Coturnix japonica: one gene and its partner. The protein of the gene in region 1 purifies or fractionates together with the protein of each later gene. This does not show direct contact. Links are inferred from orthologs where the notes say so. Each region holds a gene or a part of one and is shown in the gene's direction. Other genes may lie near its edges. The genes, in order: FLII and LRRFIP2.

What was found.
Region 2: the proteins of FLII (region 1) and LRRFIP2 purify together in Homo sapiens (affinity purification with mass spectrometry; 3 studies listed by BioGRID and IntAct, with this or other methods). This does not show direct contact. The link is inferred for Coturnix japonica from reciprocal best matches to the Homo sapiens genes FLII and LRRFIP2.

What each region holds. Positions count from the first base shown.
Region 1 is NC_029529.1:5,097,384-5,101,797, reverse strand, and holds the start of FLII (protein flightless-1 homolog), read left to right. Parts: upstream 1-1,392; 5' UTR 1,393-1,433; coding exon 1,434-1,496; intron 1,497-1,994; coding exon 1,995-2,105; intron 2,106-2,630; coding exon 2,631-2,702; intron 2,703-2,822; coding exon 2,823-2,903; intron 2,904-3,119; coding exon 3,120-3,205; intron 3,206-3,338; coding exon 3,339-3,500; intron 3,501-3,582; coding exon 3,583-3,686; intron 3,687-3,763; coding exon 3,764-3,939; intron 3,940-4,045; coding exon 4,046-4,203; intron 4,204-4,336; coding exon 4,337-4,414. Other genes in the region: MIEF2 (mitochondrial dynamics protein MID49), read right to left, coding at 15-204, 679-825. UniProt on the Homo sapiens protein: Is a regulator of actin polymerization, required for proper myofibril organization and regulation of the length of sarcomeric thin filaments. It also plays a role in the assembly of cardiomyocyte cell adhesion complexes.
Region 2 is NC_029517.1:77,548,201-77,552,447, reverse strand, and holds the start of LRRFIP2 (leucine-rich repeat flightless-interacting protein 2), read left to right. Parts: upstream 1-1,180; 5' UTR 1,181-1,293; intron 1,294-1,658; coding exon of another isoform or gene 1,659-1,946; exon of another isoform or gene 1,947-1,973; intron 1,974-2,066; exon of another isoform or gene 2,067-2,237; intron 2,238-4,247. UniProt on the Homo sapiens protein: May function as activator of the canonical Wnt signaling pathway, in association with DVL3, upstream of CTNNB1/beta-catenin.

The sequences.
Region 1 (4,414 bases):
CCACACGCACCCACCATAAGCATCAGCTGGTGCTGGTGGTGGAGCCGGGGAGAGCAGGGGTTTGCTCAGGTCTTCCCTTCTCTGCTTCTTGGGAGGTTTTGGTGTTGCCTTGATCAGAGCCAGGTCCTGCCAGCTCTCCTCCAGGCTCTTCTGCTCAGCTTTAGGATCATCTTCCTCTCGAGGGCTCGTGGCTCGATCTATCAGCTGGTGGGAGAGACACATGGAGGGGATGTGTGTGTGGTCCACAAAACCCTCACCTCACCCAGAGAACAAGCAGTGGGGGCTCCCCCATCCCAACTGCACTGAGAGCTACAGGCCCCAAATAGCCTTGTTCACATACGGGGATGCTCTACCTGCTGCTGCTCATGCAAACACAGAGAGATGCTACAGATGGCAGAGGGGGAGGAGACCCGAGATCAGCAGCCCCCTTTACAGAAGGCTGCTATTGCTGGGAGAGCAAAGAGACCCAGGGAGGATCCACAGGGAAAACCTGCACAGACACGTTGTTCAATCAGCAGCACATCCCACCCCAAAGCAGGGAGGGGACGGCACAGACAGGGTAACAGTCACACACAGCTCTTCTATGGCTCTGGGAGTCTCATAGATGCACGCAGGTTCCCGAAGACAACGAGGCACGTCTCTGGGACGCAAAGTGGCACATCACCCCCCCAGCCTCACCCGTTTGACGGCCAACGTGGCGATGGCGAGCACGGCCGCGCCGCTGACGCCCAGCACCAGCCTGGCGTTGGCCAGCAGCAGGTCCAGGACGCTGCCCAGCCCGCTGTCATCCCGCCGCTTGCCCCGCTGCTGCGAGAACTCAGCCATGGTCACCTGCGGGAAGGAGGAGGAAGGTGCGGTGCGATCTGACAGCGGGGAGCCGGCTCCGTAATGACACCCGGCGTGTAACGGCCATGGGGGGAAGGCGGGGAGCCCGGCGGGACGCGAGCTGCGGGGCAGCCGCCACCACGGCCGACCTTCAGGCCCACGGATCCCGCTGCTGCCGGCTGCGGTGGTGGCGCCGGGCCGGACCAAGGGTCACCCCATAAAGATCCGGCCGCCAACAGATGGGGACGGGACGAGGGGGCTGCAATGGCACCACGGAAGGGGCCGGCACAAAATCAGCCCCCTTCACCGAGCTGCCAAGGGCAAACAAAGGTAGGACAGCCAACCCCACTGACTGACGGTACTACCCGCGGTTATTTCCTTCTCCGAACCCCAACTCCGAGCCCATCTCACCCCCCACCCCATAGCCCCCCCCCACTTACCCCGCAGCTCCCAGCGGGGCGGACCAGCAGCCCGTGCTGGCGCGCCGGCGCGCCCGCAATTCGCAGCGCAGCCAATGAACGCAGCGCTCCTTGGCCCCGCCTCCAATCAGCGTCAGGGCGGGGCGGGGTGTTGGGGCGGTGGCGCGTCCCGCCGGGTTCCCCGCTGTCATGGCGGCCACCGGGGTGCTGCCCTTCGTCCGCGGCGTCGACCTGAGCGGTAACGACTTCAAGGTGCGGGGGCGGCACCTGCTGTAGGGGCGGTACCGGGTGTAGGGCGGTACCCGGTATGGGGCGGTACCCGGTGTGGGGCCGGGCGGGGTGGGGGGAGAGCCGGCGGAAGTGCCATGGATGGGAGGGACTGTCAGGCCTGTCCGCTCCCCGCCAGGCCCGGCCATCCCCGAGGTCCCCGCTTAGGGCCGGTCAGTCCCGGCCCTTGTTGTGACCCTGGCAGGCCCTGCTGTGTGAGCGGGGCTTTGGAAGGCCGGGAGGTGTCAGCCCACAGTCCTCATCCTGTAGGGCTGGGTGACCTCAGTCTGCAGATCCCAGTCCCATAAGGCTCCCGTCCTTAAATCCCATCCTTAAATCTCGTTCTCATGGGGCTGGGTGATCCCAGTCCCCAGCTCCATAATACTGGGTGATCTGTCCCTCAGCAGCCCCACAGCACCAGCCCTGTCTCTCCATTGTCACCCCACGGGTCATACAGTTTCTCTTACCTTCATGCCCACACAGGGTGGCTACTTCCCAGAGCATGTGAAGGCCATGACCAGCCTGCGCTGGCTGAAGCTGAACCACACAGGGCTCTGCTACCTGCCCGAGGAGCTGGCTGCCCTGCAGAAGCTGGTGAGCAAACAGGGGATGGGGCACTTGGGGGGGCTGCGCAGCCAAGAACCTGCTGCCTGCCTGCCTCGTGTGCCAGCGTCTAATAATAGGGGCTGAGTGAGGAAGTGTGGTTGAAATTGGATGCAGGAGTTGTTAGGAAAGGGGCTGAGGCTGATGTGTACTGGGTTTCACCTTGTTTTCTTAGAAAACCAGACCAGAAACCACACTCTCTTCCTCTGCCTGTTAATAGAAGGGAAGGGTGAAAGTTTATGGGGAGAATTAAAGGTTTGGGCTCTCTTAGCAAAAGCGAAAAAAGAAAAACAAGCAGCAGCCAGCAGCTGCCTGGAATTATTCCCTGGCAGCTCGAGTTCTGTGCGTAGCTGTTGGTGGAGCCCATGGCTGAGCTTTGCTCTGGTGGTTCCTACAGCATATTATGGACATGCTGGAGCCCCCCAGCCAGTTTGGGACCCCAACAGCCCAATATGGGTCAGGGCTGAGCTCTGCTCCCCTCACTACTCACTGGGGCTTTGTCCTGATTCCCCACAGGAGCACCTGTCCGTCAGCCACAACAGCCTTACCACGCTTCATGGCGAGCTGTCCAGCCTGCCCTGCCTCCGGGTGAGTGTCCCGTTGTGCATCCCATGCAGTGGGGATGGTGGGCTCTGGTCCTCCTGAGGGGCTCAGCAGTTGCTGGAGCCGGGTGGTGGCTGCAGTCATTCCTCTCTGTCCACTTTGAAGGCAATTGTGGCACGTGCAAACAGCCTGAAGAACTCAGGAGTCCCCGATGACATCTTCCAGCTGGAGGATCTTTCAGTGCTGGTAAGTGCAGACTCTCCATGCTGCCCTTTCCCACAGTAAGAGCTCCAGCCTGGACTCCTGGTCACGCTCCTTTGTGCTCTTCAAGGAAGCACGTGGGACTGAAGAGCATCTGGAACGTGGTCCCAAAGATGCCCCATGATCCTTGGGGGTGGGCGGTAGTTGTGTTATGGGGGACTCATCCCAGGACTGAGGATGATTCCTGCTTTCATCCCCCAGGACCTGAGCCGCAACCATCTGACTGAGTGTCCCCGGGAGCTGGAGAATGCCAAGAACATGTTGGTGCTCAACCTGGGCCACAACAGGTGGGGATCCTGGCAGCACAGCTCCCCCTGACCGTGACCACCTCCACCCGTCACCTCCACTCCCCTCTTCACTCTGGGTCCCCCTCTTTGGGTTGGATCCAGGGCCACCCTGAAGGTCCCCATGTCCCCGCAGTATCGAGACCATCCCTAATCAGCTTTTCATCAACCTCACGGACCTGCTTTACCTTGACCTGAGCAACAACAAGCTGGAGAGCCTCCCTCCACAGATGAGACGCCTGGTGCACCTCCAGACCCTCATCCTCAATGACAACCCCCTGCTGCACGCACAGCTCCGGTACGGCTCCATTTTGTGTCTGGTTCCCAAGATAGTGGAGCCACGCAGGGCCATGCCCTGATGCTGTCTCTGTGACACACAGGCAGCTCCCAGCAATGACAGCCCTGCAGACCCTGCACCTCCGGAACACACAACGCACGCAGAACAACCTGCCCACCAGCCTGGAGAGCCTGGTCAACCTGGCAGGTAGGGCTGTGTTGGGGTGTTGCATCGGGGCTGTCCTGGTGTGTGTCCTGGTGGCCTCAGCCCCATTTGTTCCCCAGATGTGGACCTGTCCTGCAATGACCTCAGCCGTGTTCCCGAGTGCCTCTACACGCTGGGCAGCCTGCGGCGCCTCAACCTCAGCAGCAACAAGATCACTGAGCTGTCCCTGTGCATCGACCAGTGGACACAGCTGGAGACCCTCAACCTGTCCCGCAATGAGCTCACCTCCCTGCCTGTGCGTGTTGTCCCCATCCCTCCGTCATGTCCCCACTCCTCCATTGTGTCCCTTCCCTGGCTGCAGTGCCAGCCCTCACCCCACCACCTTCCCCTTCCTTCCCCAGTCTGCCATCTGCAAGCTGACCAAGCTGAAGAAGATGTACCTTAACTCCAACAAGCTCGACTTCGATGGGATCCCCTCGGGCATTGGCAAGCTCTCCAACCTGGAGGAGTTCATGGCGGCCAACAACAACCTGGAGCTCATCCCTGAGAGCTTGTGCAGGTAGGGGGCAGCCCCCGGCCAGATTTGAGCTGTCCCCAAGAGGGGACACGTGGAGGTGGGAGATGATGGGGTGGAGGGTCCTGAAGAATGCAACCCTGGCACAGCCCTGTCTCAGCATCCCCCCACCCCGCAGGTGCTCCAAGCTGCGGAAGCTGGTGCTGAACAAGAACCGCCTGGTGACGCTGCCAGAGGCCATTCACTTCCTGACAGA
Region 2 (4,247 bases), on another chromosome or scaffold:
TGCTACTTCATTTATTTCAGTTGAAACATGCTATTAATGGAACATGCTCTATAGCACCTTCAATAATGTTTTGTTCAGGGTAGCTTCATAAATCAATATCTCTTTTGTAACTGCAGCCATTCCATAGCAAAAGTTCAATGTAATATTTTTTTGCCTCTAATTAAAGGTTTATAATGAAAAAATGTATGTAACCTGACTGTTTAACTCCTCATTAATGATGCTGAACTCAGAATTGCTACTGTGACATCTTGTACCACTGCCTGTAGTAACTGCTCTGTGTATACACTGCTCTGTGCACTGCTTTTCAGTAAACAATTGCTCTTTCAACCCACAAAAACGCATGTCTGCTCTCAAGGAGACACGCTTTTTGCTGCATCATTACAGAAAAATGTGCTGCCTGTGATAGCGAAAGACCAAACACATGCAAATCCTAATACTGCATCAGAAAAAAAAATAAAAAAATAAAAAAACCAAACAACTGAAAACATGTTTTCTCTTTACATAGCAGTATGTTGACAGAGAATAATCTCCCACAGACTAGGAGCGTAGCATCTGTCAGAAGATTCCACACAAACCCTCCCATTCAAGACAGCACAAAAAATACTTCTCCCTGCAGCTCAATCAAAACCACCTGAGACATTTCCAGTGAAGGCTCTCCATAAAGCCCAGACAATCAGCACATAAATCCTTCTGTGAGAATTAAAAACTACATCCTTATGTGGGGTTAAGTCAGTACTGTTTTCTTGCCTTTCCTACTGATATTCCAAGAAAAACTCCCTCTGCAGCAGCACTTCCTCTCTACTTCATCTCCCTGCGGTGAGATCATCATCTATTACTAAAGAAATTAACATGATGTTAAAAATAAGCATGGAATGGCCATGCTTGCACGAAGAGGGAGACAGACACTGTAACAGTTCTCTAGTTGTAAGTCCCTAAATACGAAGAAACCCCAGGAGGTTGCTTTATGTCTGATGTAATAGATGTAACTTGCCTGGACTTCCTTTCTTTATACTCATCCACTTGAGCTTATTTTAGTGTAACATTTGAACTCTGCCAAGGGCTCTTGGGAACGTTCCTGAGCATTACTGCTAGGCTCGTCAACCCTGCAGTGCCTTTTTATTATCAAGTGTCTTCTAACACGAAATACCATCTCCGCCAGAGCTCAAACCATCTCTGCAATTACCCTGCATTAGTGACGGAGGAGCTGGAAAGGCAGATGACTGCAAGTCTGATCCTGCGGCTGTTTCAAGGTGGATCCTCATCAAGCCTCTGACGAACATCAGTCAACTCCTGGTGAGCAAACTGTGATATATTTAATGGCACACTCCTTTCTTTTCTACCTCCTATATCGCTAAGATTGTTGTACACTTAACAGCGTGCATTTCCAATGGCACTTGGGGTGGTGTGAGATAAGGTGTAGTGCTTACACGGGTACCTGACTGCTGCCTGTGCCGTTCTCCCACACAGCGCGGTGCCGTGCCGTGCTACACCGGGACGAACGGCAGAGCCGGCGGGGCGCAGCCAGCAGGACCCCGCGGGGCAGAACCCAGCTGCTCGCTGCCGAGGCCTCCACGTGTTGTCCCCTAAGGAACGCGACAACAACACAAACAGCAGTTAGAACCCTGAGGCGAACGGAGCATGAAACACCGCGGACCTACCTCTCCCTGCCCTGGGGTGACCCAGCCTGCCCGGCGGTAGCGGACACATCCCGTCAGCAGGCTCAGGGACCTCAACCGCCCCTCTGCCGCGCATGCGCGGTCTGCGCAGAGGCCGGCCCCGTCTCCTCCTGCTCTCCCTCCCTGCCCGCCTTCCTCCTTTTCGCCGCGCGGTCTGAGCGCGACCGCCGCTTCCTGCCAGTCTTGCGCTGCGGTGGCGACCGCTCGGCGTCGAAGGGGAAGAGACGGCAGCGTAGGGCGGGGAGAGGAAAAGAGGAGGACGGCCCTCATTCGCGCGACCGCTCCTGCCCCGCTCCGGTTATTGCGGTTCCTGGGGCGGAGAAGGGCCGAGGGCGCAGGGTGAGGCGAGAGCGCGGCTGCCCGGCCCAGGCCGCCGGCCCGTCCCCGCCCGCCGGCCCCCGCGCTCGCCCTGGAGCGGCTTCGGCCTCCGTTTCTCCGCCGCCGGCACGGAGCTTGAGGCGGAACCGATTCCCCGCGGCTCGCGTGGGAGGCGGGGAGGGCACAACGAGCACTCCCGGGCCCCGTCCGGGCGTTCCGGTGCCGCCGTGCGCTGGCCCGCAGGTGAGGATCGGGCGGGTGGGAGGCCGCGGGGCAGCGAGCGGGGTGCGGCTCAGCCGGGCCCCGTCAGGTGGGCGGCGGGAAGGGGAACAATGCCGGCGGGTCCCGCAGCTGTGCTCCTTGCCGACGGGAAGGGAGGCGCGGCGGGGAGGGGAAAGAGAGTGGGAAAGGAGGCTGCTCCGAATCACGGCCGTTGCTGTGTCCGTGCCTTTCTCTCCCGCACTTCCTCGAAGCGCAGCGCTGTCTCTCCGCCGCTTGTCAGGGCGTGTCCCGCCGCAGGGAGGGCCGGGCAGGGCCGGGTGCTGCCAGGCCGCCGGGCGGCTGCCGGGCCGGGCTCGCTCCCGCGAGTCGCAGCGCGCCGAGGCGGCTCTCCGTGCCGTGTTCTCAACTGCGGGCAAAGCGTGCTGATAAGAGATGGGGACATTCCTGAAGCTGGAAGGAGCACTGCAGGCGATTCTTGGCAGTGGTTCGCTGAGTGCGTTGTAGGTGATTTCCAACTTGCTCATTTTAGAGAGACATCTGTCTGTCTGCAGCTTGAAATTGTAGCAGTAATGTAGTGTTGTTTTCATTCCATTAAAGTGTCAAAGTTAGCACTGAAAGGCTTTGGGGCATTTATTTACTTGCACAGATTTCCTGTAAGATTAAAAAAAATACTTCTTTTTACACATTCATTCTGTTGTGACTTTGAAGTGTTTAGTTGGGGCCCAGAAACAGGTATCTTCTTAATACAGATCTGCTTCCTTGCCTACTGTAATTACTTAGTGGTGATGTAAGAACAGATGAAAGGTGCTCTGGCAGTACAGCTCAGCTGGATGTAGGTGACGTGCTTTTCTCATGGCTTTGTGTTATTTACGTTTGGAGATGTTTACCTTAGGGTGTGAAGTTGTGTTATCTGAACAGAATTCCTGGCTCTCACAGAGACCTCGTGCATGTAAGGCAGCTGTGTGAAATGTCAGGTGTGAGACTGTTCACTTAGACATCAGCACGGACCCCAAAGAAGCTCCTTTGCTTTATAGCTCTCACTATGCAGGAGATGACATAGTGTTTTAACACACAGAGTCCGGTTTAACCAGCACTGTCTAAAATTTAACCTGTAGCACATGTTTAAGGTTTTAAATAGAAAATAAACTGGAGCTTTATGTAGTATGGAAGTTGTTGTATGTGCATACCATTTTTATTTGTTTTTGGCATCTAGATAGATATGTTACTGAGTACAGCCAGTATATAACAGTAGCGAGAAATTGATGTGTTGTTGTCTTTATTTGAATAATAATGATATAAATTGTGATAGAGGTCAGTACAGTGCGCTCTGCACTTTTCCTTTAATGTATATTAGAGATGCTTTCTGAGTAAGTAATGCAGATTTATTACCCTGAGTAACTGGGTATGAGTTAGCAAGTATATGTATGCAGCGGACAACTTGTTTCTATGTAAAGTTGCTTCTTTGTAATCTCTGTTATGTATCAGTCAAAAAACAGTGCATGTAAATAGTGCTGTTGGAAGTTTATAGATCTGTGTTAGGCATATAGAGCTGGAGCTGCTGCCATGGCAAAGGTGAAGGTGCACCTCTCCAGGGCCTGACAGCCCCACGGGGCTTTAGAGGGTACCCTGGAAGGTTTGCACTGTTGCTTCAGTAGCTTTCCCTGCAATGGAGAGTAACTGTAGCAATAGTAGCAAAGAGTAGGAGTGTTCTAAATATTAAGTTGTTAATGGAGAAATATCTTCAGTAGTTGCAGCTCGTTACTTGACGTGGGCTGTTACCATGGAGCTCTTTGTTTGTTTCGTTCATTAAAAAATAGTCTCAATATAGTCGCAGAGTGTTGCAGTGTGGTTTTTGCTGTTGTCGTTGTTTTTTTAAAGATTAATGAATCAATCTTTTGCGAAATGCTAGAGGACACTCATTTTGGAAAAGCTGACAACATAAAAATGCTTCGTTTTCAGAAGATTTGTGACTTTGTTTTTCATTATGCATTCCTTCAATTTTTGTTCATTTTGTTCATTGTAGTACTGGCA